Linked DNA regions of Drosophila melanogaster. The protein of the gene in region 3 purifies or fractionates together with the protein of the main gene of each other region. This does not show direct contact. Each region holds a gene or a part of one and is shown on either strand. Other genes may lie near its edges.

Evidence for each region.
Region 1: the proteins of Phb2 (region 3) and CG14260 purify together in Drosophila melanogaster (affinity purification with mass spectrometry, with the first as the bait; one large-scale study listed by BioGRID). This does not show direct contact.
Region 2: the proteins of Phb2 (region 3) and Uxs purify together in Drosophila melanogaster (affinity purification with mass spectrometry, with the first as the bait; one large-scale study listed by BioGRID). This does not show direct contact.
Region 4: the proteins of Phb2 (region 3) and CG5174 purify together in Drosophila melanogaster (affinity purification with mass spectrometry, with the first as the bait; one large-scale study listed by BioGRID). This does not show direct contact.

What each region holds. Positions count from the first base shown.
Region 1 is NT_033777.3:27,262,531-27,268,558, reverse strand, and holds CG14260 (uncharacterized protein), read right to left. Parts: upstream 3,103-6,028; 5' UTR 3,073-3,102; coding exon 2,611-3,072; intron 2,563-2,610; coding exon 2,275-2,562; 3' UTR 2,136-2,274; downstream 1-2,135. Other genes in the region: l(3)mbt (lethal (3) malignant brain tumor), read left to right, coding at 1-2,056; CG14262 (uncharacterized protein), read left to right, coding at 3,153-3,830, 3,884-4,144; woc (without children), read left to right, coding at 5,167-6,004.
Region 2 is NT_037436.4:8,177,056-8,184,736, reverse strand, and holds Uxs (UDP-xylose synthase), read right to left. Parts: upstream 3,815-7,681; 5' UTR 3,697-3,814; coding exon 3,054-3,696; intron 2,987-3,053; coding exon 2,805-2,986; intron 2,518-2,804; coding exon 2,017-2,517; 3' UTR 1,368-2,016; downstream 1-1,367. Other genes in the region: ERR (estrogen-related receptor), read left to right, coding at 1-253, 310-1,218; mthl7 (methuselah-like 7), read left to right, coding at 4,223-4,895, 5,071-5,247, 5,309-5,560, 5,625-5,799, 5,863-6,061; Nmt (N-myristoyl transferase), read left to right, coding at 6,410-6,614, 7,098-7,681.
Region 3 is NT_033778.4:18,816,213-18,824,378, reverse strand, and holds Phb2 (prohibitin 2), read right to left. Parts: upstream 4,913-8,166; 5' UTR 4,855-4,912; exon of another isoform or gene 4,759-4,854; 5' UTR 4,747-4,758; coding exon 4,614-4,746; intron 4,184-4,613; coding exon 3,837-4,183; intron 3,775-3,836; coding exon 3,541-3,774; intron 3,339-3,540; coding exon 3,261-3,338; intron 3,196-3,260; coding exon 3,096-3,195; coding exon of another isoform or gene 3,088-3,095; exon of another isoform or gene 2,890-3,087; coding exon of another isoform or gene 2,870-2,889; exon of another isoform or gene 2,540-2,869; intron 2,404-2,539; coding exon 2,279-2,403; 3' UTR 2,129-2,278; downstream 1-2,128. Other genes in the region: CG15097 (uncharacterized protein), read left to right, coding at 1-1,142, 1,206-1,419.
Region 4 is NT_033778.4:18,420,042-18,428,494, forward strand, and holds CG5174 (uncharacterized protein), read left to right. Parts: upstream 1-2,890; 5' UTR 2,891-3,243; coding exon 3,244-3,694; intron 3,695-3,827; coding exon of another isoform or gene 3,828-3,830; intron 3,831-3,927; coding exon of another isoform or gene 3,928-3,966; intron 3,967-4,085; coding exon 4,086-4,210; intron 4,211-4,284; coding exon 4,285-4,445; intron 4,446-4,565; coding exon 4,566-4,625; intron 4,626-4,830; coding exon 4,831-5,035; intron 5,036-5,298; coding exon 5,299-5,406; 3' UTR 5,407-5,922; coding exon of another isoform or gene 5,923-5,964; 3' UTR 5,965-6,180; downstream 6,181-8,453. Other genes in the region: PIG-O (phosphatidylinositol glycan anchor biosynthesis class O), read left to right, coding at 6,688-6,834, 6,893-7,536, 7,594-7,777, 7,847-8,453.

The DNA.
Region 1 (6,028 bases), on a different chromosome or scaffold from region 3:
CTACAAACCACACAAATCTCTGTCTGCCATACAGGAACAGCTGCAGCAACGTCAAAAGGATAAGCCCAGAAAGCCATTCCGCTGGAGCGAGTACCTCAAGTCAAAGGGAAAGGATGTGGCAGCGCCCATCCACCTGTTCCTCAATCCGTTCCCCATCAGTCCCAACTGCTTCGAGATCGGCATGAAGCTAGAGGCCATCGATCCGGAGAACTGCTCGCTCTTCTGTGTCTGCAGCATTGTCGAGGTGCGCGGCTATCGGCTGAAGCTTAGCTTCGATGGCTACTCCTCCATGTACGACTTCTGGGTGAACGCCGACTCGCAGGACATCTTTCCGCCAGGCTGGTGCGATGAGACAGCACGCGTTCTGCAGGCGCCTAAGGACTACAACTCGGAGCGCTTCAGTTGGAGCCGCTATTTGGTGAAAACGGGCGGCAAGGCAGCTCCGCGGGCGCTCTTTGGTCATCTGAATATGCAGCAGCAGATGGATGTGCGCAACGGCTTCGCTGTGGGCATGCATCTCGAGGCGGAGGACCTGAACGATACGGGAAAGATTTGTGTGGCCACAGTGACGGATATTCTGGACGAGCGCATTCGAGTCCACTTCGACGGCTGGGATGACTGCTACGACCTGTGGGTACACATCACCTCACCGTACATCCATCCCTGCGGTTGGCACGAGGGACGCCAGCAGTTGATCGTTCCGCCGGACTACCAGAAGTCTGCCTTCATTTGGGATGACTACATATCAGAGGTTGGTGGAATGGCCGCCTCCAAGGAGCTGTTCACACCACGCCAGCCAATGGAGTACCAGGAACGCATGAAACTGGAGGTGGTGGACCAGCGTAATCCCTGCCTAATTCGTCCGGCCACCGTGGTGACGCGGAAGGGTTACCGGGTTCAGCTGCACCTGGACTGCTGGCCCACGGAGTACTACTTCTGGCTGGAGGACGACAGTCCCGATCTGCACCCCATCGGCTGGTGCGAGGCCACCTCGCACGAACTGGAAACCCCGCCTGGCTATCTTCAGCCCAAGTCCGTGATGCCTTGCGATGTGGAGGGATGTCGGGGATTTGGCAACGCCAAGCGCTTCAACCTCAACGTGCATGCTTTGCGGGAATGCTGTCCGTATGCGCCGGAAAATTGGCGTCAGTGGCGCTCCAAAACGGTGAAACCGCCGCGTGTGGCCCCCGAGAATATCAGACGTGGATGGGCGAAGAAAACAAAGCGTGCCTGTTCGGAGGCCAAGCAAGCCATTAAGGAGGACTCCCAACAAGAGATTGTCTACCCGAAGGTCGCGGAAGTGGTGCAAGCCAAGCGAAAGACGTCTCCTTGTGAGGAGAAGGTTGTGAAAAAGCAGAAACAGATGCAGAAGGAGGAGGATGCGGAGCAGGTGCCGGATGAACGCTCCCTGGCCATAGCCAGGTCCTTTGTGAAGGACTATGGACCACAGTTCCTGCCAAACTATCGCCTCTGGCAGCTCAACAGCGCCTTCAAATTGGACGACGTGCGAACCAATCCACTCCACTGGACCAGCTGGGATGTGTGCGAGTACATAGAGCGTGCCCTGGATTCCACTGACATTGCCAAGGTGATCTTCGAGCAGGACATCGACGGCAGGGCGTTGCTGATGCTGGGGCGCAAGGAGTTGGATACGTACCTGAAACTCAAGGTGGGCCCGGCCGTGAAGCTCTACTCCCTGATTCTGAATCTGCGCATCGCGGTCGTCTGCAAGTTTGATTCAAAAAACATCGAACTGGAGAGCAATACTGCTGGTCCGATTCAGAGGGAGATGGATACACCTGTTTCTGCGATAAAACAGCTGCCGGAGCAGTCCCAAACCAACGGCTACAAGACGGATCACGACCAGGAGCTGTCCGAGAGCGGGGACGACGATGACGACGAGGATGTGATGCTCGACAGCGATGACTTTCTCAGCGTTAAGCCGAGCTGCCTGGTCATTGACGAGGACGCCGATGGGGATGGCGATTGTGAATCCGACGGCGATGTGGCGATGGTGCCGATGGAAGTGCGCACGCCCTTGCGCACGTCCTCTTAGGACTCCGGATACCAGGCATCCGCTTCCGTTGATTGATTTATAAGATTATTTTGTTGCACCGGCCTCGGCCCATTCGGGTATTATGTTTATAGGTAGTATTTATTCTTTAAGCCGATATGAATTCGATTTTGTTTGTTTTTCGATCCCTAATCCAATAAATGATCCCTCTAGATATGTACACCATCCTGTCTATTTCCTTGGGTGGTAAGCAAACCTATCTATTCCTCCGGCGAAGGTTTTTCTTCTTCGGGCACAACTATGGTGCCATCCACTTCGAAGAGAACGTGACCGAACAACTGGGTTACCTCAACGAGCTGCTGGAACTGCTCCATGTCCTCGTAGCGCAGGTTGTTCACATCCTGGTAGTTCTTCAGCGAGGTCAGCAGTTCGTGATCGGAGAGATCTCCATCCTTTTTCAGGATTATCATCAGAGCCTTTAGCTCCTTAACACTCAGCTTGAGGAACGAGTTGTCCATGAGCACCTGCGTGGCTACGGGGAGGATTTTCTGGAATGGTATGGGGATTAAGCGAGATAAAAGTGCGGAAATTCATACTTTCGCCACGAGATCCATCAGTGCCGGATGGTGGTGCTCGCTGGCCAGGTGGAAGACCTGCAGAACCACCTCCATGGGCCACTCCTGGTGGGCCAGCTTGTCGATGTAGCAGTCGATGAAGTCCAGCATCTCGTAGCGCTCGGCCAGCAGCATGAGGTCACCGCACATGTCGATGGTCACCGCATTGCACACCTCGTACGTGTAGATGTAGAGGAGCAACGCCTCGTAGGCGGTGGGAGAGGCGTCGTCCACGCTGATCACTCGCTTGTTCTTCTGGAACTCGGGATCCCTGATCAGGCGCTCGAACTCCGCGGAGGCGGAGATGAGCATCACCTGGTGGCAGCGGAAAATGCATGGACAACGCTTGCCCTCCTTCAACTTGTCCGGTTGCGAGACATGGAGCTCGCAGTCCGACTTTTGGCCATTCCGCAACAGGTCCAGGCGGCGTAGCTTGCAGTTCATAGTGACTGGGGATTTTTTGGAGGCTTTGCTCTCACATAGCACAAAATTTGGAATTCGAAATTAGGGTTTCCCTGGCAGGAATGTCAGACTCTGAGAAGGAGGCCGCCGGCAAAGCCCACCTGGGAAGCAACAATCGGTGGTCCGACCTGGAGGAGGAGGAGGAGGGTGAGGCGAACGACCAGGGAGGGATCCAGAACTTGAGGCCGGAACTCGTTGTGCCCAGAACCACAGCTGCATCGGATGTTGAGGAGAATTTACCATTGGGTTCTCCGAGTGATGGGTCCAAACGCGCTACGAGTAGAAACCGCAGACTGGAATACTTTCGCAGTGGAGCCGATGCCGATTGCCAGGTGCACGTCCTGAGCAACTGCCCCCAATCCGATGAGCCGGCGGTCAGTGTGTGCTACAAGAAATTTGGCTGCCATCGGATCTTCCTGGCCACTGCCTCCGACAAACTGGAGCAGGACGTGTACCAGAACAAGGACTGGAACGGCGTACTCCAGATCAATGGGGTTTCGCCCGAGAGCGTGGAGATCTTCCTGGAGTTCATATACACCTTCGAGGTGACCTCGCCGCTGGTCCAGCTGAAGCTGGTGGGGGATATGTTCATCCTGTCCTGCGCGTACAACATGCCGGAGCTCCTTCGCTCCTTTGCTGAGAAACTAAAGGAGCAGGAATTGCCTCTGGATGGCATCTTTCCTGCCTTCGACCTAGCATTCCGGCATAACATCATCGATGTGGAGCGCGTTTGCATCGAGGTTAGTAGATTGGAATATAAAATGGAGCCTTAATTTAGTTAGTTATCCTTTAGAAAATCATAGAGGAAGGCGCATCATTGATCCACGAACCCAGTTTAATGAAACTCCCGGTCTATGCTCTAAACTACGCCATCCAGCACTGGCTGGTGGCGGATGCAGTGCCTCCCGATGAACTCATCACGATTTTAAAGCAGTATCAGGAGATCAATGAGATTACATTCGCCAACACGCAAAAATTCCCGCACTTCACCAAAATTATCAAGTATTTCCCCAATGTTCTTCTGGACGCCGAGGGATTCATCAATCAAAACTAGAAAACTACTTGGAATTCCCAAAAGCTTCGCGCATAAAACCCAAAAATTTAAAAAAAATAAGCCAATAAAATATCAGTTCTCATTAGCATTGTATTGGGTATCTTTTGCATATGGCAAACTGGAAGCTCATCTAAGGGGAAGCTTAGATGAAAGACAGTCTATATTTAAGTTGTAGTTTTCAATAATTTCCTATTGATCAAAAGCGATCCAAACTTTAGAAGCATTTTTCAAAAAGATAAACGAGCAGTGCTGCCAACCGGTTGCACCACTCACGCCGGTATTTTCTTATGCGCCATTTTCGGTATTTTCCGGCAGATACCAGCCAAGAAGCGAACGCGTTATGCGAGGGCCGCATTTGGTACACTAGTGCGCCATTTTACTCGCATAAAGCCGAAAATTCACACAGTGGCCAGAAAGCGAGAAATTGCACAGTGCAAAAAGGTGTTTGGTAATTGATGAAAAGTTTTGCGCGTACCGTGAACCGACCGTTAATGATGTGCCCGCACGCGCAGCGGTGAAAGGCAGTTAATTCGCCTGTGGAGACGCGCTCACCACAACAAACTCGTGCTGTCCGAAAAAAAAAGTCGGCGCTCGGATTGCGGATTATCGAAGTACCGTACGGCAAGGCAGCAAAAAAAGTACGGAAAAGCCGCCCATGCAACGCGGCCAAAAAAGATAATGCAAGTGCAGTAATATTAATTGCCTGGCAGAGCGGCGCATACAGACACACTCCTCCTTTTTTCCCCACTTTTTTTGTTCTCTGGAGGCGCATGTTTTGTTTTTTCGTGCACTGTACCGTGGGCTCAGTGTGTGTGTGTGTGCGTCGGTGTGCCTGTGCGTGTGTGTGTACACATTTTAGGCGGCAATGGTGTGGGGCCCTGGCCAGCCGATAGTCCGCCGCGCCGCGAATGTTATCGATAGACGAGCCCTAACCATTTGTTGTTTGTTTTCCTTTTGTTGCAGTTTTCATGTCTATATAAACAAACGTACAGCGAAAGTCGGTTAAAAAATCAAGCAGCGAAATGGAGGAGATATCCAGTTTGGACTCGTTCGGCGCCGATTCCAATGCGCGACCGGAGTCGGCCACCCCCAGGTCGGAGGAACAACAGGATCAGGATCGACAACAGACTGCTCCGGCGGCCAGTGAAACTCTGGATACGCCCGCCTCGCCGCCAGCGGAGGATGCAGCTGCGCAGGAAAGCAAACCGCCTCCTTCCAAGGAGGCGGATGACGACTTCGAACAGATCTCCGAGGGATCATTAGACGCCGATGATAACCAGTCGCGGGATAAGGCGGCTAGTACACCAGCTGATCCCGTGGATGCGGAGGAGCCCGCCGAGGAGCCAACGCCCAACGAGGAGCCGCAAGGCGGTGAGGATGAGCAGCCACAAACAGAAGCCGTGAGGGTAGATCCACAGGAAGAGCCCGAGGAGGCGGAGGAGGAGACTGATGCCCTCCAGGCCACTGCGGAAGAGGTGGAGGCAGCGGCCGCCGAAGCAGATGCTGTGGACGGCGGTCCCGCTTCACCCGAAGCAATGGATGTGGATGAAGGCGAGGTGGATGCAGAAGGTGAAGCTGAGCAGGAAGCAGAAGACGACGCAGCTCTGGATCGAGAGGCGACAGATGATGTAGATATGCAGTCCGTGGGCGCAGATTCACACCAGGCGGAGGATGCAGAGCCACCGGAGGGCCGAGATGAGGTGGACACAAGCTTAGAGGAGCAGGAAAATGGCCAAGATCCTGATGAACGGGAGAAAGATGCGGCCGCCGATGAAGATGATCCGGATGCAGAAGGAGATGCGGAATCGGAGCAGGTGGATGAAAATGCCGAGGAAACTGGTGAGGCCGAACATGGCGATGGTAAGTCTTAGTACTTCTTTGATG
Region 2 (7,681 bases), on a different chromosome or scaffold from region 3:
GAGTGCCGGAGCTGGATCGGGATCCGTCAGGGACGAGCTCCGCCGATTGTGTTTGGTTTGTGGCGATGTGGCCAGTGGATTCCACTATGGTGTGGCGAGTTGTGAGGCTTGCAAAGCGTTCTTTAAACGCACCATCCAAGGCAACATCGAGTACACGTGTCCGGCGAACAACGAGTGTGAGATTAACAAGCGGAGACGCAAGGCCTGCCAAGCGTGTCGCTTCCAGAAATGTCTACTAATGGGCATGCTCAAGGTAATTTCATAGTCCCGAGTTAAAGTTCCTAAACTCTAATCGCTTTAACTTTTCAGGAGGGTGTGCGCTTGGATCGAGTTCGTGGAGGACGGCAGAAGTACCGAAGGAATCCTGTATCAAACTCTTACCAGACTATGCAGCTGCTATACCAATCCAACACCACCTCGCTGTGCGATGTCAAGATACTGGAGGTGCTCAATTCATATGAGCCGGATGCCTTGAGCGTCCAAACGCCGCCGCCGCAAGTCCACACGACTAGCATAACTAATGATGAGGCCTCATCCTCCTCGGGCAGCATAAAACTGGAGTCCAGCGTTGTTACGCCCAATGGGACTTGCATTTTCCAAAACAACAACAACAATGATCCCAATGAGATACTAAGCGTCCTTAGTGATATTTACGACAAGGAATTGGTCAGCGTCATTGGCTGGGCCAAGCAGATACCTGGCTTTATAGATCTGCCACTTAACGACCAGATGAAGCTTCTCCAGGTGTCGTGGGCAGAGATCCTGACGCTCCAGCTGACCTTCCGGTCCCTACCGTTCAATGGCAAGTTATGCTTCGCCACGGATGTCTGGATGGATGAACATTTGGCCAAGGAGTGCGGTTACACGGAGTTCTACTACCACTGCGTCCAGATCGCACAGCGCATGGAAAGAATATCGCCACGAAGGGAGGAGTACTACTTGCTAAAGGCGCTCCTGCTGGCCAACTGCGACATTCTGCTGGATGATCAGAGTTCCCTGCGCGCATTTCGTGATACGATTCTTAATTCTCTAAACGATGTGGTCTACTTGCTGCGTCATTCGTCGGCCGTGTCGCATCAGCAACAATTGCTGCTTTTGCTGCCTTCGCTGCGGCAGGCGGATGATATCCTGCGAAGATTTTGGCGTGGAATTGCACGCGATGAAGTCATTACCATGAAGAAACTGTTCCTCGAGATGCTCGAGCCGCTGGCCAGGTGAAAAGGATTATGCGGGCGCCCAAACTAGTTGATCTAGCTGATAAGCAAAGGTGCAAATATAGTCTTAGGTATATATGGATGTATACTAGAGTAGATTAAGCGTAGGATAAGCCATGTATATAAATAGTAAAATACTTGTCGGGTAAGATTAGTTCGCAGAAAAAATCTCTTTTAATGGACTACCAACTACAGCAACTGGAAAACCCTACTTATCTTCTAGAATCGGGGTGTGCTTACACTGGTTAAAGGCGCATATAGGTGTTATGTGTCTAAAGTTGTGAGTCACAGATCTTCAATAATTTGTTCAATTCTCACTGGTTCTGATATATGTATATGCCGCAACCTTCTGATGTAACGTATGAATTTGTGGGCACTTTTAAAATACGATAGTGGTTCTACAATACAATGGATTATACTGTTTCTAAGTGTCATGTAACCCAGTGATTCTGTGTCTATGTGGTACACATGCGGTCAAAAGAATAGCAATGTCGTCCGTGAATAATAAACCGTTTGTAACTGTTGTTTCCATACTCCCTAAGTTCTGTATTCTTTGGGGATTTTCTTTTCCTAAACAAATTCAAATTAGTTTTCTAGAATTCAGTGCATTTGATCGCATTTATACATCACTATTTCCTAATCCATACATAGGCTGATATATCGCAAAACTTCAAAAAATTAACCATGACAAAGGTATTCTGTGGTCCTTGAGGGCTTACAATTAGTGCTAACGATGGTCATATTTACATTTGCAGACTAGAGACGTTCCATCATCACCAATTAGAGCTAAGCCCAATTAATTCTACGGTGTATGTGTATCAAAGTACTTGTTGGAGCTTTCCTGAAAGCGATCGCTACGCGCCAATTCGTTGCGGAAGTAGGAGATGGTCCGCTGAAGTCCAGTCTCTAGGGGAACCTTTGGCTCCCAATGGAGCAACTGGCGGGCTCGAGTTATGTCCGGTTTTCTGCGCTGCGGATCATCTTCCATGGCCTTCGATTGCTTTATCACACTGGGCCCGCCGACCAGTTTCTTGATGATCTCGGCAAATTCGCCGATTGTCTGCTCCACAGGATTGCCTAAATTCACCGGCTGTGTGTAGTTGGATGCCATTAGGGCTATCATTCCGTCCACCAGATCCGAAACATACTGAAAGGAGCGCGTTTGTTTGCCATTTCCATACACCGTAATGGTTTCATTCCTCAGCGCCTGAAGTATAAAGTTTGACACCACTCGTCCATCGTTCATATGCATTCTCGGTCCATAAGTGTTAAAGATGCGCGCCACTCGGACTTGCACTTTCTCCTGTCGATACAGATACATTTAAAGAGCAATTAATTTGACTCCCAGATTGCTGGCCAAGATCAAAAAATGTGGTCAGTGCTCGCGCTTGGAAATCTTATCTCGCGTCAGCCAACCGAGCGGAACATCAATTAATAGCATTCCAATTGAGATCATTTAATGCTCAACTAGCGATCGAAACAGGAAAAATCTGCCACATTTCTGGATCTCAGCTAGTTTAATGTTTTTTTTTCGATCTGGCTTAGGAATGTGGTTATCCAAAAAAGTATATATATTGCTAAAGGTATTACCTGTTTGGCATACGCATAGCTCAGCGTCTCGGAGACACGCTTTCCCTCGTCATAACAGGCTCTCGGTCCAATAGGGTTTACATGTCCCCAGTATGTTTCTGGCTGCGGATGCACTGTGGGATCGCCGTACACTTCCGAAGTGCTAGCTATCAAAACCTTGGCCATCACGCGCTTGGCCAGACCTTTCAAAAAAGATATACTCGTTAGGTGTAATCCTTATTTTCTTTGATTGATATTATAAATATTTACCCAGTACATTGATCGTGCCCATGGTGTTGGTCTTGATGGTCTTCACCGGATTGTACATGTAATGCGGTGGCGAGGCTGGCGATGCCAAGTGGTAGATCTCATCGATCTCGATGAAAAGCGGATTCACTATGTCGTGGTGGATGAGCTCGAAGTTCTCGTGCCCCAGCCAGTGCTCGACATTTCGCTTGCGTCCCGTAAAGAAATTGTCCACCACGATGACCTCGTGCCCCTGGACCATCAGATCGTCGACCAAGTGGGAGCCCACGAAGCCAGCTCCTCCGGTAATTAGTATGCGTTTGCGATTCTTATAGTTCAGGTATTTAACCTTCGGATACTTGCGCGGTGTGCTGGTCTGGAGGCTACGAACTTGTTCCTCCAATCTGGCCAAATTCTCCCTTGTGCGCTGGAGTTCGGCCTTTTGTTCTCGAATAAGAGAGCTCTGCTCCTCGTACGCCATCTGAAGGCTCCTTTGTAGCGGACTTTCCGTGGGCGGCCATTTGGCCTGAACCTCCTCGACGCCGGGAACGGAAACGGCGACCTTTCCGCTTGGGCAGAAGCTGGCCATTCGGTAAAGGTAGACCAGGAGCAGGAGGAGCAGCGAGATGGCTGCAACGATCTTCAGACGCTTTTTGGTGGCAGTCATCGTCGGTTATGGGTTGTGTACTGCAGGGTTCCAGTGCTTATCAGCAACTGATATCGCCACATTGCATTCTCGTTCGGCTTTAGAAACTATATAAACAATACAATTGCGTTATCAGGAGGTGCCAGAGTGGCCAGATGGCTCAAACGGAATTTCTAAATGGATTAATAATCTAACGCCAGGGAAAAGCTCCCGCCTAATTTTAAAATTTACATCAAAAGTATCGACAGGCGAACATTTTGATTTTGGATTATAAATTATAATGAATTGATAATGAATTAGACATTTTTGTTGGTGATCTTCCCCAGGGACGAATATTTTTCGTTTTAACGATAAAAGGTCGGAAATTGCCAAAAAATGAGTTTGAAAACTAAATTTGTTTGAGGGCTTTCTTAGGCTGGTCAGCAGGGACTACTTTCCGAATAAAGTGTTTGCCCAAACGGCTATTGAAGGCTATTTAAACTGCCAACGATGAGCATCGATCGCCAGTCGGGCAAAGTTCTTAGTGCCAAGTGTTGTAGTGCTCAGCATGAGGCTTCCTTGGGTGATTTTCTGTACAGTTCTGCTTTTAATTTTTACGAACAACTCAAATGCAGATATTCCCGGGTGCAACTACTACGACACGGTTGATATCTCATACATTGAAAGGCAAAACGATTCGTATTTATATGATGACATCGAAATTCCTGCTAGCTTAACTGGATACTACGAGTTCAGGCAGTTTGGGGACGGTTCGATTACGCCGATTGAAAAGCATTTAAGGGCCTGTGTTTGCAGCGTGCGGCCCTGTATTCGAATCTGCTGCCCAGCCAAGAACTTTTTGGCCAACGGAAAATGCGATGATGGTCTCAAAGAGGAGCTCGCCCGGTTCAAACCCTATATATACTTCACATACATGGACCTACAGGCACGAGTACCACTCACCGATATGGCTATTATCAGAGATGAGTTCTTTGATTGTGATGAAATGATTTACATCAGCGACTTTAACTATTTCTTAGAAGAGGTTAGCATTCAAATCTTCAATAAATGTGGACTTATAGTTTGGTTCCAGGATGGAAAATTTTGGGTTACCGTTGACCTCTTCATGGAAAAACAGGACTACTGCTTGTACCGGCACAACTTTGATTCGGATTTTCCAAAGTCCATGTGGATAATACGACACCGCTGCACAAGCCACATATCTCCTGGATCCTTAGAGAGTAATTCAATTATTATTTATAACAAAAGTCATCAATATCGTTTTCATAGCTATATAGAAAGAAACGAAAATAACTCCTTATTGGTGTGCAAACTGCTGACTGCATTCTGTGTGCCCTTTGCAAGTTTTTTAATTACAATAAGCTGGTTTTTTATTTCTTATATTTTCTTTTTCAGTTCTAATTATAACAATGATATGCTTTGTCCTAACAATCGCAGTATATCTATACATTAAGAAGCTGCGAAATGTTACTGGCAAGTGCATTGTATGCTGTATAGTTTCGAGGTTTATCCAGTGCTTGATCATGATACTAGATCATTTAAATCTATTGAATGGCATTTGCTCTCCAGCTGGTTAGTTCGAATTGGAGATATCTCTGGAAGCTTTAAATGTTATATCGTTGACTTCTTGCAGGTTACAGCTCGCACTTTTTCCGGATGGCTTCCAACCTCTGGCTCTCCGTCATCAGCTACCATACGTGGAAAGTCTTGACGTCGCTCAATCGAGTCGACCCTAACTATCGGTTCCTGCGGTACAACGCCTTCGTCTGGAGCACAGCCGCAATCATGACGGGAAGTATTTATATAGTTAATCAGATTTGGGAAAACGATCCCAGTAAATGGAACTGGTTGCCTCTGGTCGGTTTTATTCGGTGCTCGGTCAAAGGTAAACTTTCAATGCGATTGCTTTTAAATCGTTACCATGGTTACGTATTGCTTTTCCATATCAGATTGGCACCCATCCGTCTGGATCTATATAAGTGGACCGTCGCTGGCCCTGAGCACTTTCAATGTCGCCATGTTCGCCCTGACAGCCATTTACATTAGGAAAGTGAAGGGGGGTATAAATAAGTTCACAAATGAGGAGGAGGGAAGGATTAACTGCATAAACTTTGACAGCCAGACGTAAGATATGATAAAACCTTGGACCTTGGTAAACTAGTTATCCTTGCCGTATTATCCACATAGTTACCTACAGTTCCTGCGGCTCTCCATCGTGATGGGCCTTACTTGGATATTCAATGTCATTCCGTATTCTGCACGGCTCCACATTTTCTGGGAATGGGTCGGGATAATATCCGAGTATTTTCACAGCGCGTTTGGAATTGTTTTGTTCGTTCTGCTCGTCCTGAAGCGCAGCACATGGACTCTAATGATGGATTCTTAAGCTTGTTTCTATATAATTCTAATAATTGTTTACAATTAAAGCTTTAAACAATTAAAGCCCCTCATTTTATTAATATCCTTTGCTGAACGAAGGAATTGAATTGAATTTTATTGAACTCAATAAATAAATATAGTTTTAGAAAACGATGTACTTTAAACTGCCAAGAGGTCACCGCGACAAGCTTTTCACTTCGCCACCCTCTGGTAACACTGATTCTCCAGCCACTTTCGATTCTTTAAAAAACATCGATAGGTATCGCCAAAAAAATCAGCTGCTCTGCTTGTAGTTTTGCGATTTCATTGCAATTTTAATTTGCTTTACTGTTCAAAAAGAAATACAGTGCAAAATATGCCGAACGAAAACGCAGAGGACCTCTCGGGTCAAGAGCTAAAGCAGAAGGCCAAGGAGGTGGCCGACGCATCGGAGGCAATGCTCGAAAAGGTTGTTGCCGGCTTAAATATCCAGGACACGGCATCGACGAATGCAGCAGGAAACGAGGATGCGGAGCAGCCTGATGGTGCCAAGAATGAGGCTTCAGTGTCTGCGAATGCAAGTAAGTTTTCAATATGCCTGTGAAAAGTCATTTAGAGGCTCCTCCTGCGGCTGAAAAAATGAGGTTAGGTTTTGTCGGGAACTACAGTCCAACCTCTCTAACTTGAACTGCTGTGCTATTCATTTCAATTCAATTTTCAATTTTCATTTTCTGTGCAATTACTCCAAAGATTAGCCCTAACGGAAAAATAAACAACTCATAAATCATAAATACATATTTGATTTTGATGAAATATGAATATACTTACATAGATACAATTGAGTTTTTTATTACGAATAAAATATGTGTAATATAAGATTTCTACCTTGTTGATTCCATTGATTGATGCTTCATTGAAACCCCAAAATTGGGCAAATTTGTTGTCATGGGAAACTAGTCCACTGTCGTGATGCCTTAAGCTTTTTTTGGGGCAGATTAGTCATTCCAGTTTAAACTAATCGAAAAATGTTATAATACTATTCAACGCATCATCGTTTCTTTCAGGCAAACAGGCCTTGCTACAAGCCGTTTCCGATGCTATGGCCAGCACCCGTCAGATGGCCAAGAAGTTTGCATTTTGGTCCACACAGCCAGTCACCAAGCTGGACGAGCAGGTGACCACCAACGAATGCATTGAACCGAACAAGGAAATTAGTGAGATTAGAGCATTGCCATACACTCTGCCAGGCGGCTTCAAATGGGTGACACTAGACCTGAACGACGCCAATGATCTCAAGGAGCTGTACACGCTGCTCAATGAGAACTATGTGGAGGACGATGATGCCATGTTCCGTTTCGATTACCAACCCGAGTTTCTAAAGTGGTCGCTGCAGCCACCTGGCTGGAAACGCGATTGGCATGTTGGCGTTCGTGTGGAGAAGTCCGGCAAACTGGTTGGCTTCATCTCAGCCATTCCCAGCAAGCTGAAGTCGTACGACAAGGTGCTAAAGGTTGTGGACATCAACTTCCTATGCGTCCACAAGAAGTTGCGCAGCAAACGGGTGGCTCCAGTCCTGATTCGGGAGATAACGCGTCGCGTCAATCTGACGGGGATTTTCCAGGCGGCCTATACAGCTGGAGTTGTGTTG
Region 3 (8,166 bases):
CGCCAGCTGCATCCTTCCAACTGCTTGGGCATACGCAGCTTCGCAGATGCCCACTCCTGCAAGGAGCTGCACACGCGGTCGCATAAGTACGCCCTGCAGAACTTCCAGCAGGTTGTGGGTACCGAGGAGTTCCTGCTGCTGCCGTTCGAGGAGGTTCGCGAGCTGATCTCCAACAGCCAGCTGAACATCAGCTCCGAGGAGCGAGTCTTTGCCGCCGTCATCAATTGGGTGAAACATGACCTGCCCACACGAAGACTCCACATTGCCGAGTTGATGTCAAACGTCAGACTGCCGCTGGTGAGCAGGGATTTCCTCATGAGCTGCGTGGAAACGGAGACCCTCATGCGCGATGACTCCGAGTGCAAGGAGCTGCTGCTGGAAGCCATGAAGTACCATTTGCTTCCGGAGCAGCGCAGCATAATGGGCAGCCAGCGAACCCAGGAGCGTCGTCCGGAGGGCATGAAACCCTACGTATTTGCGGTGGGAGGAGGCAGTCTCTTCGCCATTCACAACGAGTGCGAGGTGTACAATCCGCGCTCTAACTCTTGGAGTCCAGTGGCACCAATGTTGTGGCGACGATCTCGATCCGGAGTAACATCCCTGCACAAGCAGTTGTATGTGGTCGGCGGCTACGATGGAGTCAGTGATCTGGCCACGGCGGAGAGCTACAATCCTCTGACCAACAAGTGGAGCAACATCACCCCAATGGGTACGAAACGTAGCTGTCTGGGCATCTGCTCCTACGATGCCTTGATCTACGTTTGTGGCGGTTACGATGGCGCCTCCTGTCTGAGCAGCATGGAGCGCTATGATCCGCTCACAGGCATCTGGAGCTCCTGTCCGGCGATGAGCACAAGGAGAAGGTACTGCCGACTGGCTGTGCTGGAAAATTGCATCTACAGTCTGGGCGGCTTCGATTCAACCAACTACCAGTCGAGCGTGGAGCGGTTTGATCCCAGAGTGGGTCGCTGGCAACCGGTGCCAAGCATGTCGGCACGCAGGAGCAGCTGCGGCGTCGCCTCCACCGACGGGCATCTGTATTGCATTGGTGGTAATGATGGCACCATGTGCATGTCCAGCGGAGAGCGATTCAGTTTGCGCAGGAACAGCTGGGAACCCATCGCAGCAATGCACTCGCGAAGGTAAGGATACCTCATAAATAGTCCAACTTCATTCCCTTTTTTAATAATTCGGTTCTTTTCCAGATCCACCCATGAAGTGGTTGAGGTGGAGGGTGCCCTCTTCGCCTTGGGCGGCAACGATGGCAGCTCTTCGCTCAACTCCGTGGAGCGATACGATACGCGGCTAAACAAGTGGAGCGTGGTCAACGCCATGGTGGCTCGACGCAGCTCCGTCGGCGCCGCCGTCTTGGAGTGCTTCCATCTGGAGCGTGGACTGGTGCAGACGACGAACTTATGACCCTTGGCCAGCATAACCGAGTCCTTCGCCGCAGCTGCAGCGAGCGGCACTAGCAATGGCAACAGCACCATTAACGGAATCGGTTCCGGTGGAGTCATACCTTCGTCATCGGGCGTGGGAGGCACTCTAACCGTTCCGAGCCGAGCGGAGGCTGCTGCCTTTACGGCCAACATTGCTCTGAGTAGTTCCGCGCCATCGGCTAGCTCCACGCTGCGTCGTCATCGGAGGGACACACCCGGTCTGGCCGAGAGCCGCAGGGCCAACAGCAATGCCAGCAGCAGTGGCAGCGAGAGCGGAAGTACCAGCGGGGCCAGCGGATCCGGAGGAGGAAAGCCACCGGCGACGGCCTGATCCTGGTCCATGTCGCGTCGCTTCTAAGCCACCTAACAATTACAAATTAACTCACATACAAAGCTAACCCCACGCGCCTAATGCAGGAATTTGATTGTTCGAGTTCGTTATGGATAGACTTAAGAATATTTATATGACTTGGAGACCCCGGGCGGTGGTTCGATTGCTCAACATCAAGGATGAACATCGCAGTGAATGCATGCCCATAACACACACACATGTTTCTAGTCAAGATCTCTCACACACACACAACATGGGAATGCCGCGGGGACACAACTCCTGGAGAAGCAACCTAATCTGCCTACAATTTACATACATAAACCTCTATACACTTAAATTATATACTGTATACACTCTTATGTACTATTCTTATGTATTTTATACACGCAATTAAAACGATAAGTAAATGTTTCGTAATCGTATGCGACGAAGTCGGCGTTCTGTTTGGCTCTGTTCTGTATGCGCTTTGTACTAGGATCTTGACAGGAAGCCCCCGCTAAGGTGTGGATCACATCATCCGCTCGGCCATGCTGCTCGCCACGTTGCCCACGTTCTTCTCCTTCTCCGCCGGCTGGGCGACCTTCGAGGCCATTTTCCGCGCGTCCAACCAGTCCTTGGGCAGACCGGTGCCAACTGCAATGATTGGGTGGATTGGGATTAGTGGAGGGATCGCTGCACGGGGACGCCGCTTCGTTTTTTCACGAGTGGTGTGCCCCGGCAGTTGAAGCTGAAATCAGTTGCAATCTATAAAGGGGGACACAACGATCTTCAGACAGTTCTCAGTACGCATTTATTTTCAGTTTCCGTTTCACGTGACTCTCGATGATGGGACATGGAAAGTTAAATGCTGATGCGGCCATTTGCCCGCATTGGTATCATTGGTCCACAAAATGCCTGGCCGTGTTTCAATCCTTGGCACCCAGTGAACGGATGTGGGATGAAGCTGCCTCCGGGTGACAAGGACTTAGCACTTGGCAGATAATTCGTGAAAAAATGAAGCCAATGCGCCGCTTGGGAGTGGTTAAAACTAAACGGTACTTAGGCTCTAGCTCGAAGGAATTTCAATAAAAATTAATTAACAACGAATGTGGATCGCCTCCTAGTCCAGGTCATCGGCTACTGGGTTGCGCGATCGGGTGAAACGTTAACAGAACGAAATTTTGTGCGGCAAATAGGAAGAGAGATGGAGTACGGAAAACGCGTTAGAAATTACTCAATTATGAAGGCTATGTCTAAGTTTTGGCCAATGTGATTGAAACCAAAAGTACAAGTGTTTTCAACTTAAAAGTAAACTCTTTTTGTTAATCAAAACGAGAGCTATTTACTTTTGTAAACCTTCTCGGTCATGTCATCGAAGCCAGAGTCCTGGATGTTAAGCATCAAGCTATCCGCCGACAAATAGACCTTGTTCTGTGAGCTGGCAATCTGTTGATAGGGGAAAAGCATTTCATTAATTTTAAATCAGAAGAGATTTAAAAGATTAATCATACCGTGCGTGCAATGCTTTGAGCGGCACGCAGCTTGCGCAGCTTCAGGTAGGCTGGGTTCTGCTTCACGGCCAGACCTAAGTAAACATATCAGTTAAGAAGAACCAGTAGGTGGCAATAAATTGGGTAAGCATAATCCCTATTTACATATTTCAAGAAGGCCAAAAATAAACGATGAACACAGAAAAACAATACAGTTTTTCCAGCTCACAACATACTAACAGCCTTTTAGTCAGATGTAAAAGGGAAAAAATGTTCTAGTTAGTGTTTTGTAAAAGGATATCATTTTAGCAGCCTCGGCTTCTCCCTCAGCCTGAACAATCTTCTGCTGCTTCTCCTGCTTGGCGCGCTCCACAAAGAAGACAGCCCGCTGTGCCTCCTGCTGAGCCACTTGTTTGGCCTCAATGGCCGCCGTGTATTCCTTGCCGAAGCTCAGCTCGGTGAGGGACACATCGTCCAGAATGATGTTGAAGTCGCGGGCGCGCTCGACCAGCTCCTTGCGGATGAGTAGGGATACCTAGTAACAGACAACTACTATATACAAACTGAATTAACCATGGTTAGTATGAAGATTTCTACCTGCTGACGCTGGGTAATAAGCTGCGAGGCATTGAACTTGGCAATCACGCTCTTCAGCACCTCGTTGCAAATGGAGGGCAGCACCTTCTCGTCGTAGTCCACGCCCAGCTGCTTGTGCAGATAGGGCAGGTTCAGGGAATCGGGGCGCGACAGCACACGCAGCGAGATGTTGATCATCTGCAGATCCTTGGAGCCAGTGGGCGAGGATATTTTGCGGGGACGCGAGCGAATGTCATAGATAATGGGATACTGGAACCAGGGGATGCGCACGTGCAGTCCCTCGGAGTAAATGTCGCTCTGGATGCCGCCCAGACGGCTGAAGATGATGGCGCGGTGACCACCCTCAACTGTTGAAAGGAGAATTAATCAAGTGAGTGGGTTTGCATACATAGTATAGTAAATAGTTAAATATATAACTTATATGTAATTACTTTGGACTTAAGACCCGAAAGTAAACACAAATATAATGGAGTTTGTTATGCAATCATGGGAAGATGAAATGTGGGACTGGCCAACAATAACAAGTAATTAAAGTGAGGATAACTGATAAGTTAATGCATGTTCCTCACATGCATCTTATTAGATAGAGTCTAATAAGAATATTGCAAATCATATTGGAAGTTATGAAATCCGGGAAACAGCAGAAACACACACACACAAAGCAACATCTCTATGCACTCTGTAATCATTTGAGGTTATGTGCACATGCCGCTATTGCCCGTGTTTATGGTTTTATCCCTCAAATCGGTGGCTTTATCCTATCGGCTTTATCCTTACCGGTGTACAGGGACTGACTGACTCCATAGGCGGCTGCTCCCACGGCGGCCAGGACCTTCAGTCCGATTCCCAATCCCGGCGGACCACCTTTGCCCAGCTTGCCGGCAAGATCGTTCAATTTGCTCTGTGCCATCTTGTTTGTCTTCTGCGACGAGGAATTTAAAAAATATATTAAATGTCGGTAAACGCAAAGCACTCTGTATAGATTTTGTGATAATAAACGTATGATTTTTCCACGTACAAAATTGGGAAACTCTCACGCACGTTTGGTTCGGTGTGACCGTATGTGACGTTGTCACATAATCATTCGTTATTTAAATCGATACAAAAATGTAATATTTTTGCTATTATCGGTTTGTGTGCTTGCTAACAACTATTTGTATTTTAATTTTTAATAAAAAACTTTCCGAGTTAGTTAAGTGTATTACTCCATTCATTTGTATAGTAGTATTTCAGCAATTTCTTTAATAAATTAGAAAACGAATTTTCGAACGAATTGCGCACATGTTTGTTTGTATAGAATAAGGTTTGATCGTTGGTTTTGATAAATGAGTATTGCGGCTTGCACGCGATTTCATACGGCGCGTTTTTCACGTTTGGCGCGTTTTGAGTGCGATTTCTGTGCGGCTTGATCGCGATTTTAGGCGTATTGATAACGGCTTGGTTTAAAATTTCAAATCTTTACCCAAATCAGTTATACGAAAGTAAAAGAAAAAAATATATATTATAATATAATAATGAATATATGTGCTAGTTAGCTTTAAAATTAAACATATTTACATAACCGTAAAAGTAAATTAAAATAAACATAAAAAAGATATGGCAAAAAAAAATAACTCATGGTGCGTTACCACTAATCACCTAACGCTGTAGCCAAAAGTTATAAATAGATGATGAAACCTGATGCCTGAGGCTTTTTGTTTTTGTTGCAGCACTTAAACTCACATGTTGTGTTTTTTTTTTTTTTTTTTGTAAATTTGTGACAATTACAATTTCAAGCGAATAGCTCCAGTGTGCTGGAGCGGAAAGGAATTTAAATCGGCCGGAGAAATTATCTGTGCCCCTTATCAAAAGGTGGCCTCTGTTTTCGTCATGTTTTGACAATCTGATTTGAGGATTTACCCTCTGCGCAGTGTTTATAGATTAGTATTTATGGTTTAGTCCCCCCCCTGATTGGGCCTTATTGCTTTATGGCGCTTGTCGCAAATTAGCCACTGATGGACTCGTAATTAATTTAGGGACAGCATCGATTAGATTAGATGGATGTCGTTTTGCCTCCCCCATCAAGCGGCGAGGAAAATTCCTCGAATTAGCCGCGCTAAAAGCCAAAATTTCGGGTGGTCAACTGACGCACCTGCCACCTTTCTTTTGATCACATCACGTTAAGATGCTAACAGGTGGCTCCTAATGGCTGCTAAATTTCGATCTGACGTCGAAAATTAAACTGCGAACCTAAGACAACCCAATTCGATTGGGTTCATTTGGCATTCGAAGTGCAAAGTTTGCATAAAAATATATCTGACGATGACGTTCGTATTCGCACTTCCAGAATTCCCCAAGGAAATCTACGTTTTAAGCTTCACAGCACTGAAAAAAAATATTTAAGTTATGCGGAATTCTTAAAAGAAAAAATCAAGTGAAAGATGCTATAAATTTGACTATTGCACTGAATAATCATTATAAATTTGTTGATAATTAATCAAATATGCGGAATACGTCATAATTTCTTCGTGTGCACTTAATTCCTGATGAGTTCGGTTGAAAGACCGCAGAAACTCACCATCGGAATACCCAAGTTCTAGAGTGGGCTACAATGGAAATGGGTGGAAGTACCCTAGTCAATGTCATCTGAGCCAAAATCGGCTATTGGCCCGCAATTAACATGCGCAACGGGCCGCTCGAACGGCCAATTGCGATCGGTCGACTTTAGTATGGCCAACATCGAATAGGTCGTACTTAGCTTAGTTATGTGATTATGTGCTCACTGACGGGGCCAACAAAGCTTGCCAATTTGGCGGCAGTTCGTTCGTTTTCCATTGAACGACAGGCACTTGAACTTGAATTTGAGGGGGTGTAAGCCTTTAGTTTCGTATTGAGGAACTAAAGTCGACATGTTGGCCAAGTTCAAGCCAAACAGCACGTTTTGCATATTAAGAACCCGGGCATCATTCATCACCAGTCCGGCGGCAAACTTGTGCAATCAGATGCAGACTGAAAGTCTATATAGTATAGTACGAATCTGTAATCCATTAGAACAACTGCTCATTTCGCTGGGCTGCAAATAAAAATGTGTAACGGATTGTAATTGGTCGAACAACACCCGCCCGATAAAATCCGACGGAGGATGTGTAATTGCATTGACTGGCAATTATTTTCAACCAATACTCCGCCCCTTCTGCCACCTGACACGTGAAAAGCGGAAAGGTGAAACAAAAACACAGATATCATACGGATTTGCCAGTGGAGCATAGCGTGATCACTTCGCTGGGGGGGGGGTTGATGGAAATTCGGTTTGGGATCGGAAAATGCTGCATCATTCGGCAACGGAAGAGCTGCTGTGCGGCAGAACTTTCCAATTTACATAAACCAATAATCGATTTGCATACGACAGGTAGCTATTTTTGCAACCGATGGATCTATTAACGGATATATTTTTGGCGCTTTGTGGCGAACCTATTGTGCCAAGCACGATATATGGGTGAATCTATAAAACATTAGGCCATCGAAACTCAATTAATTCGGTACAGCGAGCTAAGATTTCAATAATGCATAAGCCCGATTGGGTAAATGGTTAAGTAGCTTTACTAAAACCAAAGTTAGATTAGCTCTCTATGTTTGTAATGGATGTAAACAATGATATTATGGGGAATTCTGCGATCACTACGGGGATTTTTATGGGGATAAATTTCAGGCAGTCCATTTAATGGTAGTCTACTAATTATTATTTGCTTTTTTAAAGCTCATAGAATTTTTACTAAAGGTATAATCTAAAACATATAAATCATACCAAAATCTCTATTGATTGAAATTTTAAATTTTACAGTCACATTGATAGCATGAAATGTGATACTACTTCAGCGTTTTACTGACACAATCATTGGCTTTCAAAGGAGATTTGTCGTGTTATATATGATGCGACTTATAACCGTATTCGGTGTAGCGCCTTTTGATAAATTTGGAATCCCCAGTGAATTTCCTATAGAGTCGGTAGGGTATCAAAGTCTACCAAAACCTGCCAAAAAAGCTTAACGAAACTTAGTCAATCGATTCGTGACTCCGAGCATCATAACTTCGCTCTCATTGACTCGTCGTAACTCGTTTGATGAGATCGAAACCCAAACAGCGGCATCATGACAAGTGTATTAGGAGGAGATCCGTAGTCCCAACCCCCCGCCTGGTGCCGATTTTTAGATGGGACACGTTATACGTGCGGACTTAAGATCGTTTAGTACAACCATTCTGGTGCACGCGTTTGTCTGCTTCCACTGTTTAGCGACTAAAGATAATCAGTTTGTTTTCATTTCCAGGGGACATGAGACGGGCATGTGAGCAA
Region 4 (8,453 bases), 400 kb from region 3:
ACGAATGTAATTTTAAGCATAAAATGTTAATTATTTACATTTACCTTCTATCTACCCCCCGTTTTGATTACACCATACTCAATTTTCGTATTCGGAATTTCCATTTAAACCCTTCCCAATTAAGTGATGATTATTATGATTTATGCGAAAGTAAATGTTAAATGAACGTTGATTGTATTGTACAAACGTTTCTTACGTTGCGGGGCGAGAGTGGAAGTGGAGATGGCGATTTATTTGAACAGCAAATATAAACCTTACCTAAATTTAATAACTATATTACCCGCACGCCTGCTCCTACTCCTACTCCCTAATCCTCTAGCGTTCTACCATACACACAGCCATGATACAGAACCCGAAAAACACACACACACACACACCGACTCTGTTCACATTTCAAAATGAGTATCGACATTTTAATTTTGTGCAATCCCCTTGATTTATATTAAATTGTTTTCGACTTATATTTTCCACTTAAATAATTTTCTTTGCGCCGCGGTGTAAATTGTCAAAAGCAAGTAAAAGATTTGGAACTCTTCCAGTACTTTGTACGAGTATCGGGTGATGGTTTTTCAGTTTTCTCAACTCTACACCGCGCAATATCTGACAGTTGAAACACAAAGTATAAGAAAAATTATTAATTTTTTACTATTACTATTCAATAAAAACAAAAAACCATATAAAACCAATAAAAATCGTAAACGAATTTTTTGCTTTTTTTTTGCAACATTTTTATTTTGTTTCACGTTTGTTTAGTATTTCGATTGCTTCTGTTAAAAAAAAATATGATAACACCAAGAATAACAGACCTGATATTGTAAATTTTTAAAAATATACATACATATTTACAACAACTGCATTAGTAATTCTAAGAACGTAAAAATACAAACTATATCAAATGTATATATTTTCCTATATTAACGGACAAAATCAAATGTAAGAGTCGACGGCCAAATGGCAATTGCTGTCTGCAAAACAAAATATTTTCATTAACAATTCGATTTCTAACTATAATTTTCAACCCAGATATAGCAGATACAACCGTATGTCTTATTTCTTTTGAAATACAAAAGTTTTAAACCGAAACTTTTCTGTTTGAATAAAGGCGCGATCTGGCAGCTCTAGGTAGTGGTGTCACAGCGTCGATAACTAACTTAGTTTCTCACCGAGCTGCAACAAGTTTAATTACAATCGATAACGAAGATTGGAGCTTTTAGTGAGTAAAATTTGACCCATTTCTGTTGTTTGAACGTTTATTACGCATTACGTATTTACTTAAGCGATTTTGTGAATTTTTTGTGTGTAGTTATGTGCACGAGAGATGGAATTTTTGACCGAAAGCTGCTATCGATAGTGACATTCCTTCGATTTATTTTAGCAACCATCGATAGCTAAGCAAGCGAAACAAAAAATTATTTTCAACTTGAAAGTTTTGCGACAAGTGCGTGCAGTTGGCATCGAAATAGTTAACAAAATTGCCGCAGACTTCCGGAGACAACGCCGTAATGGAGGACCGTAAGTGTGTGGCATACGGACGCAGTGCATCATTGCAATTCCAATGCAGCGGCACATGTTTCCGTGGGCTCTTGTGACCTGGGCGATTGGGACACCTAAGACCTTTCGGGTAATTCGGGTATCATTACTATTGTAGGACTCTGATTCAGCAGCGGCTTTGCCAAAAGTTTTGGGGGACTTAGAATACACAATGAGTTAACCTTGGTGCGCTGGGAATCAGCAGATGAGTCATGGTTCCGATTTGCGTAGGGTGAAAGGCTTTCCAACTATTCGGATTACCGTGGAAGTTCTGCGACATGCCATCGATGGCAATCCGTTTGGTGGGCGGGGGTCAGGTTCTTTGTGGTGTAAGTATTGCATTCTCGGTTTCCGACGTCCATGCATACGTGGCTTTTAGAAGCGCAACATCCGCAGGGCGGCTATGATATGCATATCATCTGAAAACGCCTCCTCCCACTGAGCTTATCACCATGGTGCCACTATAATTGTTCGGAGCTCTGTTCCCCCACCGAAACCACTTAGTAATTGGCTTCCACTTGTTGACTTCTCGATGGGATTGGGCCTGCCACAACAACAGGCACTTCTGAGCAGCAAGAACTCGCAGCAAACCAGAACTAGCTCACATATATATATATATATATATATAGTGTAGATATAGGGTCCATCAATGTGGCACAGTGGCTTTGTGCTCATACAGTGCTTGATGGTCGGAGGAAGCTGGGAAAAATCGGAAAAATCCAAACTGGTAATTGCTATTTAGCAAGAAGCTAAATTATGAATTATTTTCCTTTTTTTGTTTGGCTCCAACAAAGCGATACAGTTATGTACAGTACGTTTTTGCAAAGAAAAACTTTATTTATAGTTATATTTAAAGTTCCTTATCATAGGGTTTTTCAATTTTTAAAGTTGTTCATCTCCTCACAATTGTTTACTTAATAAATTTAAAAGGTACAATTAAAGAAGAATATTATTCAATTAATAAATTGAAGTCTCGGTTTATCAAAGCTTTTTGACTGATAAAATAATCATTTTAGCTGCAATTAAATTAGACACATATATGTATATCTAGTGTCTTATCAAAGCGTACTTATTATTTATGCAAATATTATTAGCTTTATAACTTTCCCATGCTTATTAATTTATAAATTAAATGAAGTGTAAAGTTGGTTACTATAGAGCTAATGTATTTACGTAGCTGTAACTTTTAGTCAAGCTCTACTGTAGTCTTGCTGGTTGCTACTGCTGCTGCTGCCTGTTGCTGCCCCTTTTGTTTAGCGCTCTTCTTGTGGCATTTCTCGTCTTCGTGCTGACACGAATCATCAACAAGCGGAGCCAAGCGGCCAACCAATCCACATCTACCAATTTCTAAGCCGAGATCGAGTCAGTTGGCATTTGGCTGTAGACGAGCGTGGATGGAGCAGGCCCAGAATCGAAAGCGAAAACGAAACTGAAATCGAAACAGAAACAGAAGAACCACCACAAACCAGCTGCGATCGCATGGGGAGAGGAATTTATGTGGAACGCGGCGGGCCAAGAACTGAAAGCTCAGCAAAGAACGATCGAAGTGGCTGAAAGCAGGGCCAAGAAAAATGTGCTCGCTGCTGACCGTGGAAACGTGATATGTGCTTAGGATTGGGCCAAGACAATATGAGCCTCCTGCGCCAGCAGCTGCCACGTTCAAAATAGAAAGTTGCTGCCAAAGATGAAAGAGAGCGCCGCTATTGCCACAGAATGAGCGAATCGGAACCGAATAGCCTGGAGTTCATTGAAGACCCCTATCTGCCAAGCATTGATGATCTCACCAGCACACCGTCACTGGATCTGGAAACCAATGATGCCGTCTTGGACTGGTATGGCGATGGGCAGGAGGAGAGCGAGGCTGAGCTATATTTGCGTAATCTGACGCTAGACCAGATATTCTACGATGTGGATTCGGACTACACCAACAGCCTGGAATTGCAGGCAGTGGAGGCGGACTTCATTGCCGCCAAGTTGGCCAATCAAGCGCCATCGTCTTCGATGGCCAAACGCTTCCGCTTGAAGTTCTTTGCCAAGCGAACCATGCGCGACGTTAAGGTCACGTTCATAGACTTCTCCAAACCGTATCTGGCCAAAATATCAAACAGTGATAACTACAAGAGATTCCTCAACATTGGGCATAGAAGTAGAGGTACCAAATTCGGTCAGTGGGGAGGGGGGTTGGTGGGCTTAGGTCGGGTCTTTGTTCTGTGGCATTCGCTTTTCCACTTTCAACCATGACTAACCAGACTAACTTCTCTGTTTCTTTCTCCTTTGCCTGCCTTTCGCCTCGTCAGTTTGTGAGTATTAACAAAAACCCAGATCTAACCAATTAACCAACTCATGTCTTTGCAAATTGTACATACTCGTATATACAACTAAATTCGGTGTATTCAGCCTATGACAAAGTCTTTGAGGAAGTTGCTTTCAAAGGAGGTACTTAAACACTACCCGCCGACAACATTGAAATTAAGCTACAGTCCCCACACAGCACCCCAAGTTTTAATGTTCCCTTGGATTGGCATATATTTAATGGCTTTTTATTTCATGTTCAGATAATACAGCCAACCTGTCGGAGCCAGCATCTCCAGCTAATTCTGTGGCATCCGCAGAAATTGCCGCCGAGTTCGCTGCGCTTTCCGTCGAGGAGAAGGAGCAGCGTCGGGCTGAGTGGAGTCAGGTAAGGAAGTTTTCAGTTTTACGATCATAATTTGATTACTCAGCTCGAACGCTAACTTCTACTTCAATTTCCAGGAGCTCGCCCGCGTTGAGGAAGAGATCAATACGCTGCGAACTGTCCTAGCCTCCAAGACGCGCCATGCCTCCGATCTCAAGCGCAAGCTGGGCATCACCGTCTGGAAGGAGGTGACGGACGACGTGAACCAGGGCCTTAAGAACCTCAAGGAGAGCACTGTGTAAGTCTATGAACCGTTCGCAGTTCTGCTGGGCAATTAACCCGACTAGACAGTTTTAATTTCTAACCATGCTTTTTGTTTCAAACTCCTGTTGAAACGCTATAACGTGTATTTATTTAGTTACCAATCGGTGGAGCAGAGCGTGGGCACGTTTACTAAAACGGTGTACGAGGCACCACTGTAAGTAATTGGGTTCAGGCTGATTTTTAATTGGGTACTTTTGGAGTTACCGGACTAACGCCGTGTTTCACGCCACTTCCTTTAACACAATAACCAACTCTCGCCTGTTTGTAACTAAAGCGCACCTATGTTTGCCCACTTTGTGTATGGAGGAAAACTATCGAGATGAGTAACTAATGTTGGATTTATTTGTACTCTCCCCTAGATACCAACGCACTGAGTCGGTGCTAAAGTCCACGGGCGAGAAGACCGCCTCGGTGTTTGGCAGCATCACCAGTGGCATTTCGTCGAAACTGTCGCAAATGAAAAACTCCGAATCGATGCGTTCTATCGAGGCTTCGGTGGGCTCTGCCTACGAGAACGTTAAAGTAAGCTATGAACACAACAATTTTATGTGCCAATCTCATGCGGTAACTACTATTTTATTATATATCTGTCTTTACACATCTCTCATACTGTTGCGATTCTGTTTTGGTTCCCGTCTAACTAACTAGCCACTAACTAACCAACTAACTAACACTAACCACACATCTTTCACACTTGCTCACCCACTATAAACGCACTCTGAATTGGGATACTTCGGTTGATTTGCTTGCTTACACAACGAACTACTCCTTGCGCAAATGCTACTGCACCTCTACTACAATCTGTTCGGTTTTCTGTTCTATTGTAGACCAAGGTGACATCCCGCTCGGGTTCGGTGTCCAGTTTCCCAGATGCCCTGGACGAGAATAACACATCCTCGGGTCTGAATTCACCCACAGACTCACTCCCGAAATAGATTTCGGGGCAACTGCAAGGCCAAGCGCGTCGATAATGTGGAGCAACCTATACTACATACAAACAGACCCACGCACCCACTCTATTAACTTATTTAACTAAAGCGAATTGTCGTGTCTGCGCACTAACAACAGGATCAGAATTAATTTAACCAGAAATCATATGTACACCTGTGTCGATACGGTTTATATAATACTTAATATAACTAAAATCTGCGCGTCAAAAATTTGCCAATGGGAGCACATATTATATGCATCTATTTGTATTTGCCTTGGAGACACCATCAAATTGCATGACTTGTTTAAATTTAAAGCCACGGAGGATCGAAGATCCAAGGGCTTGCTGCATTCGTTTATATAACTATCAATCTAAGTGTACGTTTAAAGACTAAACCACATTGGATGGTCCACCCGATGTCATTCCCAAATGTTTCTAATACTTAGTAAAAACATTAGAAAATCATGCATTGCGGTTAAAGTGAATATACATTTGTTTTACGCTTTTATTTCTTCTCTAGGCGTTGAGTTCCGTGGTTAGATGGCGTTCCCTAATCCGTTGAAAAGCCAATTCCAAATTTATTTAGTACTAAATATTTGTGTTACGATCAGAGCTTGCGTGCAAATAACGAAAATCCATTGGTAAACTTAAGTGGATGTAGTCCGTACTGCTGAAGATTGAGAAAGAGACGAAATCGCACCCAATTTGTTGCTAATGCTGATCAAATTTGCTATATGTGTATGAAATCTTTGAATAAATGCAAAAATTTTTGCCCCATAAAAATAGCGATGTCTTTTTGATAAATGATGTTTGGGAGTATATGTGTGATTACCTTTTCAAACTTAAACTACAGCTAATGAATTAAAAAAAGTTAATTTCCAATTTCATCTGTCAGCTTTAAATATCCCGCCAAAAATTATAATAAAGTTGACAACTCTGATTTAACCCAGGGATCAACGTAAAACAGCTGTTTGCTTTGACGAGGTGGCAACGCCATAGAGGGTTCTTGCATACTTCTCAATTTTTTCTTCAGGCCACAAGAAAATCTTTAGATATGAGGAATTTTAAATGAAAACAGCGAGCAAACAGAACGCATCGTGATGCCGGAAACCTAATCAACCACTCCGAAGTAAAGTGCAATTAAATTACATAGTTTTATACAACTGAAAGCGGCTGGCCAGCCGCATAAAGTATTCGCCTACACCAGCATTGTTCTAAATGCTAAAAAGTTTATTACTCATTAAGCATTTGTGTGCCTAGTTAGTTAATTAATCGCAGCCGAAAGATGAACTTGACGTACTTGTTCGTGCTTATTTGGCTGGCCTTCCTCATCAGCAGCGGCGTGATGCTCTTCTCGCGGGGATTCCTATTGGCCCGGGTGTCCAAAACGGAGACGAGCACCTGTCGCAGGTTGTCCACAAATCCCAATGCTGTAAGTACTAGGTAATGAACGAAATGGGATGCATTTCAAATCCTTTGTCCTCAAACAGGAGTACGTACTCACCGATGAGGTTGTGAACGAAATCTTTAAGGATGTCAACGCCTCCTCCAATCTGTGTCTTCCGCAAAAGTCGAAGGTTATTGTCCTGGTTGTGGATGCACTTAAATATGAATTTGGCCTGTACAGGGCGAATGCTACGGATCCTTTGCCATATGAAAACAAATTGGTGGTGCTCCAGGAGCTGCTGCAGCAGAATCCTGACCACGCCCGCCTAATGAGATTCCGAGCGGATCCGCCAACCACAACGTTACAGCGCCTGAAAGGACTCACCACCGGCAGCCTTCCCACATTCATAGACATTGGCTCCAATTTTGCCTCACCGGAGATCAACGAGGATAATATCATTGATCAAATAGTCAAGAACGATCTACCAGTTGTCTTCCTGGGGGATAGCACCTGGACGGATCTGTATCCTCATCGCTTCAAACGATCGTACTCCTATCCCAGTTTCGATATATTCGATTTGGATAGCGTGGATAATGAGATATTAAAACACCTGCCCAAGGAGCTGGAAAGTAAGGATTGGCAAGTGCTGGTAGCCCATTTTCTCGGCGTCGACCACTGCGGACACAAACACGGACCCATGCACGAGGAAATGGCGCGCAAATTGGGCGAGATGAACGAGGTGATAAGGTAGGCGGCATCACATTTATTGGTAACCGCATATCATCATGTCCATCATTCATTTAGATCCGTGGTGGCGGCCATGGACAACGACACCACGCTGCTGGTGATGGGCGACCATGGAATGACGGCTTCCGGCGATCATGGGGGAGACACCGATGACGAAACCAACGCTCTGCTGTTTGCCTACTCCAAGCAGCACAGATTTTATGGCAATGATTCGGGCTCAGATAGCGAAATGCTGCAGCAGGTGAGATAAGACAACGTTTAATCACGGCGCGTCACGTCACAGTGATAAGCAACGATATTTGCTTTCCAGATTGATCTGGTACCCACGCTGGCCACCATTCTCGGCGTCCCAATACCGTACTCCAATCTAGGCCTGGTCAACTTCAACATTGTACCCGATCTGCGAGTACCGCATTTAAACAAGTTTCAGACCCTTTTGCTTCATTCCTGGCAGAATGCCCAGCAGATCTATCGCTACTTCTTCCAGTACGCTTTGGAGAACAAGCGCACATTCAACGTGGAACAGATGGACCATCTAGAGACTGAATTCATACTCCTCACCCACCGAGTGCAAACCGTTTACAACGAGGTTGCTTTTAAATCTTTTGTACGTGACTTGAACACCAATCTGCGGGACATCCTGGGCACATGTCGCGAAATCTGGGTCAGATTTGACCCCACTCAGATGTCGCAGGGCCTGCTGTTTACCTTCCTGCCGTTGTTCTTTATCTTCCTTGTGGTAAACAACTCTCGGCCAGCGGATTTTCCGCACATCTTCAAAGCCAAGGAGGTCTTCTATGTATACCTAATCAACTTGGCCGCTGGAGTATTTGGATATCGGTATTTCAAGACATTCTCCTTTAAAACAGAGGAGCAAGGAGTGATCTTCTTTACGGCAATATCCAGTGCTGTCATCC